2 linked regions of the Drosophila melanogaster genome follow. The protein of the gene in region 1 purifies or fractionates together with the protein of each later gene. This does not show direct contact. Each region holds a gene or a part of one and is shown in the gene's direction. Other genes may lie near its edges.

Region 1 (5,379 bases):
CAGAGGTTCCCGCTTTCCAACCATGGAGTTAAAATCTAAAATTATTAACTGAGGTTTCATCCTCAACTAGGAATTCTTTTCATGCAAGAGCACTTGAATTAGATTCATCTAACTTCATCTTTAAAACATAAATAGTTCACCTATTTTGGAATACAAAATCAATCTTTATGCTAATTACCGAAAGTAATTAACTTAAATATCGAAAGGGCTTTGTCGAAGACCGTTTTGCGTGTAGAATAGTGCGCCGATTGGTTCAAAACGAAGCCCAAAGCAATTTTTGATACGACGGTCTCTGATTCGACAAATCCCAGTTGATTCAGTAACTTTTACGTGCAATTACAAAAGAAACCAAGGAGTATAAAGCATTATATTGTAATTCTGTGGGCTACGTCGAAGACCGATTTCCGCTTGTTGCCATGTGTCTATTGGTTCAAATCGAAGCCCAAAGCAATTTTTGATACGACGGTCTCTGATTCGGCATTCCACAGTCGTCTGAGTAACTTTTACGTGCAATTACAATGCAATTAAATGAAAGTGGTAGTGCAATTGTGTAGAAATAAAACGTCTTAAAATTAACCCACATTTTCTTTGCTTCTTTTGCAGTACAAGTTGTGCAAGGTCAAGAAGACCCAGCTGGGAGCCAAGGGAGTTCCTTTCCTGGTTACACACGACGGTCGCACCATCCGCTACCCGGATCCCCTGATCCACGCCAACGATTCCGTGCAGGTGGACATTGCCTCTGGCAAGATCACCGACTACATTAAGTTCGATTCTGGTAAGCATCCGCTATCGTAGATCATCGTGTTCATTGGCTGGTTCGAAGACCACAAAACGCTCCTCGAAAGTTGCGTGGTTCAAAAACAATAAGCCAAAAGCAATTTTTGTCACGACGGTCTCTGATGCGGCATTCCAAAGTCGCTTCAGTAACTTTTACGTGCAATGACAGTCGCCCAATATTATTAACCAAGTCGTATGATTCCAACTAACTGGTATATTTCTCCGTCTCCACAGGCAACCTCTGCATGATCACCGGAGGCAGGAATTTGGGACGTGTCGGCACCGTTGTCAACCGTGAGCGTCATCCCGGTTCCTTCGACATTGTGCACATTAAGGACTCGCAAGGTCATGTGTTCGCCACCCGTTTGACCAACGTGTTCATCATTGGCAAGGGCAACAAGCCCTACATCTCCCTGCCTAAGGGCAAGGGTGTCAAGCTGAGCATTGCGGAGGAGCGCGACAAGCGTCTGGCCGCCAAGACCCACTAAGGCGCAGGAGTTTAAGGACTTTTACCTTTTAGCATAACACTCTGTACGTTTAGCTACGGAATTACAAGCCGAGAACGTAACACATGTGTTTTCTTTTGCAATGGAAGTGGTTGATCTATTTGTTGGCCAAGAGTTTAAAGAATCAGATGTTTGCTTTGAAATGTGTAAAAAAAAAAACATGGGACATGTGTGACGTGACTTAAAGCTATTCAAACGTGACTTTATAGGAACTTTAAAATCAATTCACAATGCCTTAGAACTGGACGTAAAGTAAAACTACCCTCAAAATTGACATTTCAGAGCTTGAAAGACTAGTTTTATCTATGACACGAATTCAAAAGTTGCGTTTGTTAAGTAAATATTTCAAAAGCAGATTTTAATGAGGACTTAAATTTCAATTTATGATGATGATTGTGTTATTCTTGTTTACGTCTTCATCTCACTTATTTCATTCATATCATAAAAAAAGGGCAATAGATTATTGAAAAAAGGAATTCATTTATTTTACGGGGGGGGGGGGGGTGAGTTTTAACCCCTCTGTGGTGCGTGGGGGCTGGAGTTGGCGCCCAAATAATCGATAACCCGCCCCCAGCATCGATAGAACGGCCGCTGCGAAAGCTCCGGTCACACTGCTCAGTGGGCTGCTGCTTCTGCTGCAGAGAATTATCATTGTATTTCGTGTGGTGAAAGGCTTTGTGCGCGAACATTGTGCGTCCCCGGATCAGAACTCGCTTCGAAGTAAGTACCCGACCATCCCGGTGGCGCATTCCGCCGCTGGGCGGAAGCCCTAGCAGAGCCCCCGCCCCCAAAAGCAAATCATATGCGAAGAAGAAAACACGAAAATGCTGGCCACCCATACAACGATGCGCTGCACACACCGATGCACACCGACACATACGCACACGGGCGAACATCATATGTTGATAAGTTGGCGACAACAACAACAACAGCAGCAGCAAGAACAACAAGAACAACAATGCATGTGAATCATTTGTAGGGATTTGTCTGTTTGCTCGCGAGTGGTATTAAATGTCGGCCTATTTAGCAAGACCCCTGCTTTGAACTCACAGCGATACATATGCACTTACAGATATGTCCAAGGCCTTGAACAATCCCGGTGGCAACGGAGGAGGCGGTGGCCCCCATCGGGACTATGGTGCGATGGCCGATTCAACGCCCGAAGTGAGCTTTGCGGCAGCCGGCGGTTCGTCCGGCTTCAGTCCGACGGAATTCATGTCTCTTAGTGAGGACATTGGCCACAACATCACTGCCATCCACAGCAGCACCAAGCAGTTGGAGAAGCAGCTGAAACTGATTGGCACATCCAAGGAGCAGCCAAATCTGCGGGAGAAGGTGCACACCATCAACACCAAGTGCAATGCCCGGGTGCAGACCACCAGTCAGGACTTGCAGAGGCTACAGGCCGTTGTGCGGCACGGAGATCGCCAGCAGAAGCTGCAGCTGGAGAAGCTCACCCGGGAGTTCCATGGCGTGGTGGAGAAGTACTCCAATCTGCAGCGACGCATCTCATCGGCCATGCGGCAGACCCTGCAGCAGGCGCAGCAATTTGCCGATCAGGTGGTGGAGACCAACGCCCGTGCTGAGCTGCTGCAGCAACAGCGCTTGGAGCAGGCCCATCTCCAGCAGGAGCACGACATGCTCGACGATCGGCGGCGGCAGGTCGAGCAAATAGAGTCGGACATCATCGATGTCAACCAGATCATGACCCAGCTGAGTGGACTGGTGCACGATCAGGGGCAGCAGATGGGTGAGTAATCTCCATCCAAGTGGGGCTCAACGACCGCAAATCGAGAAACCACAAGCCGTAATTAGGGCTCTCACTTTACGACCCAAATGCACGCAGTTCCACATATTTAATAGCGTCCAAATGGAGAAATCCATTGGTAAAACAAAATATTCAGAGCTTATCAGTTGCTTAAAGGTTGCATAGCAAATCTCTCAAATGAGTTGATAAGTAAACATGTGCAAGAAATTATGAATCATTGACTTTGCTTCAATAACAATGCACATTTCGAAATTGATTGGAATTATCAACAACGACTTAGACGTTTTAATTTTCCATATCTTTTATGAAAACCCGTGTCATTTGGCAAGTAATGTGTGCATACGCTTATCATATCGTTTAATTTAACTTCCTGTTTATTTGAACAGTAATCAATTATTTCGGGTCTTACAAAAATAAGAAGAAACTGATAAGAGCAAGCAAATATTATAAAATATTTACTGACTGCTATTACAGGTTTAAATATCCAAAATTTTTCACTCCTTATTAGTAATAGTTTTGAAAATTTCTAGGTGCTTGCTTGATGGAAGGTTTTTGTACTTGTTTTTGATTACACTTTCTAAGCAAATCTCAATTTCTTTCCAGATTTCATCGAGAACAGTATTGAGCAGACGGCCGCCAACGTTGAGGATGGCACCTCGGAACTGGCCAAGGCGGCCAGGAGTCGCCAGAGCTACCGGCGCAAGATCTTGATACTCCTGGTGATCGCTGTGATAATAGGTTTAATCGTAACTGGCGTTATCGTTGCCAAACTGAACAGTTAATTGTTTTATTTTTACGCCCATATTCAACAAACACACGCAAACATACACAACCCACACACACACACACGCATAGATTTTTGTAAAACGATTTTTATAAGAAACAAAATATTCGATCGTTGAGAACTCTGTTTAATCACCAAGTGAGCAAAGACAACAAGAATGTAGAGGAAAAGCTAAAGCAAAAAATAAAAACAAATACCATATTTATAATTATACATATATATCTACATATATATACATAAGTAAATAAGGATACTGAATCCCACTTAACTTGCATATAAACAATATTCAGCGCTTTTAAATGTTAATTATTTCTTGTTAAAAACGATTATCGCGAGCAATCTGAGTTTTGCATTGAAATTTGTAAAATTTTTGTGTTTAGTTTCGAGAAAGCGGAAGGCGGATTGCTGAAGCCGTCTGCGGCTTTAGTATTCCCTTTTGATATATGTTACAAGTTATATATAAGTGAGCCAGCAATCGAAAATAAAATAAACCGAACAAACCAATTTGAGTGATTTGAAAAGCGCGCCAAGTGGCTCAAAGAGGATGCAATAGGTTGGCAGTCCGCTTAAATTGATAGGACGTAATCGATAGACTTATCGGTGTGGGGCAAAACCAAAACAACGTGCTGCACAGCAAAACATTTATATTTCGTTTTCTTGATAAAAATTTGTCATTTGTAAAGATGCCACAGGGAAAATTCAAGAAGGCCAAGCTACCAGCAGCGATACAGAAAAAGAAGAACCAAAAGCAAGCTGCTTTCACCCGTCGATCAAGTGATTACCCACATGCTTAACAATCTTCTCCAAATTCTATGTTTTTGTTTTATTAATTTACAGATGCGCCAATTCAGGCGAAAAAGGCCAAGTTCAATGAGACGCAGAAGATCAAGTCCGTTATTTCGAAGTCGGTCAACAAGAGCGTGGAGAGCGAACTGCGCTCCCGCGCCCACGAGGGCTACATCCAGTTGAGCAAGGCCCAGGAGGCGGTGGCCAAGCACCACGCCTCCCAGGCGAAGGCGGCTGCGGCGGCCAGTACCGCCAAGTCCGCGGAATAGCTTACTCTAGGCATAAGTACTCTGTTGATAACCAAATGACCTGCATATTGTATAGTAAAACATTTCTAAAACTATTTCCTTTGTTATAGCATCGATTGGAACCCAAAGGAAACGAATTCTCCTCTTAAGATTGCCAAAAGGATTAACAAATCCGCCTAATATCAGAGCATATGAGCTTTAAAGCGTTGTTAGTATCTGCAATCTCTCAACAGTCTACTAAATTAAGAAAGTTACTTAAATTTTGTAGTTCTCGCTGAGTTTTAGGATTGCATTTCTATTGATGGTCAGGTGAACCTAATATTTGATACTAAATTCATTCATTAGAAGCTATACTAAATGAACAAATTCATTTTCAATGTTAGTATGAACTATTTTATGTTATAAAAAGTTAAATGTTGCCAAATGCAGAGTACATTGTCTTACAATCTTGAATATTTTATTCAGTATGTTTCACAATGAATGCAAATTACTAAGAACGATAACATTTTC
Region 2 (4,251 bases), 7.7 Mb from region 1:
CTCATCCGGATAGCGTTCGCCGCACTCGATCTTTAGTGAATACATTCGATTCTCGAATGGTGTCTGTAATAAACACAAGAGTTTGCCATTAGCTTTAAATGATTCTTGAATGATTCAATACTCTGTGCACTTGCGGCCAGAGTGTCGATGAGTCAGGCGCTCCCATTCCCCTTAGTCCACCGCTTCTCCACTTTAGTTGCCAATGCAACTAAACCAAGTTGGGGCTCTGTTAGAAGACCCTGCCACCCAAACTCCTCAATGATTCATGCGGCGGCGCGCGCAACACTTCTAGACTATACAAAAATTAAATGCAAATTTAGTTTTCCGCCGCTTTCCTTGCTAGTAATTCAAGGCTAGAGCCTTGTTTTCCCCAATAAATGCATGTAAAGTGGAATATTTTCTTGTGAATAAAATAAGAATAAATTAGCACGAGCGTTTCTATACCTATATTTTCTAGCAATAATCCCAGATTGCAGCTTGTAGTTTTCATATAAGATTAAAATCTAGCAGAGGTACATTTTATATTCATATTTACCACATAAGAAGCTAATGAAGCCAATGACTTTTGAAACCCACACTCACAATGAGTTGCATCAGCGGTGCTAATGAAATGCAAATATTATCAAATTCCATCGCACTGAAGAGATAAACTGCCTTCAAAGATACAAGGTGCTATCCAAACTGAATGGTCTGCGCAATCTAAGCGATAAGATGTCAATAATCCTACAGAATTGCCTAATAAACCGGGCTTATCTGGTGACGTAGCGAGGAAAGTCCAATCGATATGGAAACTTACTCTAGGCGGACCGATGATCATGCCGATCCAGTAGGTGAGCGTCATGTCGTCGTCGTTCTCCAGGCCCCACGATATGGTGCCATCGCCCACGCCCTTCTGGCCCTGATCCAGCTCCTCCAGTAAGCGGAAATTCCGTGGCACCACTGCAATGTGAAACGGCAAAGAGGTGAGAACTCGATGACATAATGCATTTTCACTGAAAAACTTAAATCTTTAAATATAGTCATTAAGTTAAATGTCAGCTTGTTTTTAATTTTCTGGTTGGCGGGGCAAGAAAGTACTTAGCTTTCTAAATAATTATAATCACGGGCTCGTACAGATAAGATACATATATATAATTATAAACGACAGTTTTATCTATTTAGAAACAAACTAGTAAGGACTGTTCTACACATTTTCTATGGTATAAACCATTTTCGGTGATATTTCGGCGACTTTTCCTCTCAGTGTGGGGTCATATGGGTACGTGTTGTTGTTGTTTTGCGCTCTGCTTCTCGTGTTGTTTTTGTTTTCGGCCGTGTGACTTTGTACGCATTTTCGTGCAGAGAACACAAGTCAAAAAAAAAAAATGCGAAGCGCAGATATTAAGCACGATGGGCGCGGGGGGAGGGTGTGTCGGCGGGGGCGGGGCGAAAGCATAATTTCTGCATTTGCAAAAACAATCCAGGCAAATGTAAATGGCAGCTAATTTAATTAGAAAAGACAAGGCAGCTTGCAAAAACGCAAGTGTGCAAAAAATAAGGAAAATAAAGAAAAAACTTTAAGTATGAAGGCAAGAAGAAGAGCGTGCGCGAGCGAGCGAGCGAGAGCCACATAGTGAGGAAGGAGCGGGGATGATATTTCGGAAAATGTCAAGTCACGAAGCCCAATTGCAACGGAGTTTTTCCAACGCCAAACGCGGCCAAGGAAAATTGCAAGAGCAGCGTGGTCCGCTGGCGAAAATAAATTTCCATTCGCCCATTTCGCTTTTATCGGCTTTCGTCTTTCGCCCTTGCTTTCGTCTTCTTTTTGCCCGTTTTGCACCACACACACAATCACATTGCGGTCCGCTTGTCGGGTCCGTAGCGGCGGAAAAATCGCCGCCGGTCAGCGGGAAATGCAGAAAACGGATGGCCAACAACTCCGGGCGTGCGGGGATCGCATTTTTAAGCTGCCAAATTGCTAATTTATCAATTTTATTTCTTACCAACGCCGGTACTTGATGTATTCGCCATTGTGGTTAATGCTAAGTGCTAAAATACCGTAAAAGTGTGCTAACGCGTTTCCAGTGCGATGTGACCAGTGCGGTTTAGGTTTTGCTTGGCTTGCTTAACAACTCTGATTTTTACACCGTTAACAGTGGTAACACTTAACAGCGCCGTCAAGTGCAATATTTGGTCACTAATTAAAAATCATTATTTAACAATATATAGCATATTCTCTGAAAATAAAAAGGAAATTTAATAGTTGCATTAGCTGATAAGTTTGTCATAATATATGGTCATACCAAAAACGGCAGCCAGCTGCTCTGCTATCAGTGCTGTTAACTAACATGACACTCTGTCCAATGTTAACGCGTCAGCTTTTTTAAAAACAAACCAATTGCAACCGATTAAATATTAATTTGCGAATATTCTCGGGCCCATAAATTAATGCGGAATCAATAGGTGTAACGACATGGAGAGCTTGTACCACCAAACCAACAATGTGGTAAAGGACATCGAGCGCGATTTCCAGCGACTGAGTCAGCTCAGTGCCCAGGAATCGCTTGACGTGGAAAACGGCATTCAATTGAAGATTACCCAGGCGAACGCGTGAGTTCTACAATGATATATATTATCCCAAGAGGAGTTTGTATTATTAAATAAATCTTTTGTGTTTAGAAACTGCGATCGGTTGGATGTGCTGTTGTATAAGGTGCCACCTTCGCAGCGACAAAGCTCCAAACTTCGTGTGGATCAGCTGAAATATGACCTGAGACACCTGCAGACATCACTGCAGACGGCGCGGGAACGAAGACAGCGACGGATGCAGGAGATCTCCGAGAGGGAACAGCTGCTGAATCACAGATTCACGGCAAACAGCGCGCAGCCGGAGGAAACGCGCCTGCAATTGGACTACGAACTGCAGCATCATACGCAGCTGGGTAACGCCCATCGGGGTGTGGACGACATGATTGCCTCGGGCAGCGGCATTCTCGAGAGCCTGATCTCGCAGAGAATGACGCTGGGCGGAGCGCACAAGAGAATCCAGGCGATAGGCAGCACACTGGGTCTGTCCAATCACACGATGAAACTTATTGAACGCCGGCTGGTCGAGGATCGTCGGATATTCATCGGAGGAGTGGTGGTCACCTTGCTTATCATCGCCCTGATCATCTATTTCCTAGTGCTCTAATCTGAAGACATCGCGTTTAGTTGAGTTTAAATTAAATGTACTCTATTTTGTAAAATGTTAAATTAACAATTGATCAATTGTGGATTAATCCTCGGCCTCCAGTGAGATATTGCTGCCGAACCGCTGGTACAGATGAGCCTTCAGCTCGTCCATTTCCGCCTTGATAACCTTCGCCTTGGCCTCCACGCCGGCGATCTCCTTGAGCACCTGCTCCTTGGTCTCCTTCAGCATGTCCTGTGTTTTCTCCAGCTTGTGCGAGAGGAACACCTCGCCAACCAGGAACGGTATGTCCTCGTCCTCGTCGAACAGCTCAATCTCCTCCAGCGCCTCCTCCAAGCTCTTCAGCTCATTGCGCTTCGTTTCCAGCTCCGCTTTGAAGTCATCCATGCGGGCGTTGTGCTTCGCAAAGCGGTTGATCCGCTGCTGATCCTCGAAGGAGATGTGCACGTCATCGTGCTGAAAATGCGATTTAAAATATATATCATAAATTTCAATTGAGCAGATGCACAGAAAAAACCATGACAAAGTGAGGTTACTTTTCATCTTAGTCAGCTGTCCTTTGATGATTCACCCATACTCACGTTCTGGAACACTTTGTTCGTGCCGCTCGCTACTTTTGCTGCCATTTTCCCGTTGGTTTTAATTAATTTAATAAATAATTTATGATATTTTACAAACAGTTGCTGTTTTCGGTGCTTCGCAAAAAATTTTATTTGTTTAACATTTTAGTGTTGACAAACGGAGAGCAGTTAACAGAGAGAACGAGGCGTTAGGCTATTTTACAGAAGTGATTCCGCTTTAGCAATTTATTGTTATATCTTCAGCACTTATATTTATTTAAATAGTTATGTTTAATTTTTTATGACTATGTTGAATATAAAATATATAAAATATTTAATAAGTAGGGTTAATAATTTAGATATTTGCTACCTTTAATTTTGTCACTTAACAGTGTAAGTAACGTGTAAAAAAAATGATTTTGTGTAATCTTACAGTGGAGTACATTTAAAATGTACATATCCTGTGTAAAAACATTTTCAAGTGCAGTTACTTTTTAAAAACAAAAAAAATTTGCTAAA

Evidence for each region. The genes of interacting proteins can lie anywhere in the genome.
Region 2: the proteins of Syx13 (region 1) and Membrin purify together in Drosophila melanogaster (affinity purification with mass spectrometry, with the first as the bait; one large-scale study listed by BioGRID). This does not show direct contact.

The regions. Positions count from the first base shown.
Region 1 is NT_037436.4:13,042,563-13,047,941, forward strand, and holds Syx13 (syntaxin 13), read left to right. Parts: upstream 1-1,871; 5' UTR 1,872-2,003; intron 2,004-2,075; exon of another isoform or gene 2,076-2,287; intron 2,288-2,355; 5' UTR 2,356-2,357; coding exon 2,358-3,033; intron 3,034-3,654; coding exon 3,655-3,833; 3' UTR 3,834-4,332; downstream 4,333-5,379. Other genes in the region: RpS4 (ribosomal protein S4), read left to right, coding at 604-775, 1,012-1,265; CG11279 (uncharacterized protein), read left to right, coding at 4,519-4,609, 4,673-4,890.
Region 2 is NT_037436.4:5,364,147-5,368,397, forward strand, and holds Membrin (membrin), read left to right. Parts: upstream 1-2,308; 5' UTR 2,309-2,452; coding exon 2,453-2,589; intron 2,590-2,658; coding exon 2,659-3,172; 3' UTR 3,173-3,235; downstream 3,236-4,251. Other genes in the region: Uev1A (Ubiquitin-conjugating enzyme variant 1A), read right to left, coding at 1-63, 797-939, 1,983-2,010; Pfdn4 (prefoldin 4), read right to left, coding at 3,257-3,628, 3,754-3,798. UniProt on the Drosophila melanogaster protein: Involved in transport of proteins from the cis/medial-Golgi to the trans-Golgi network.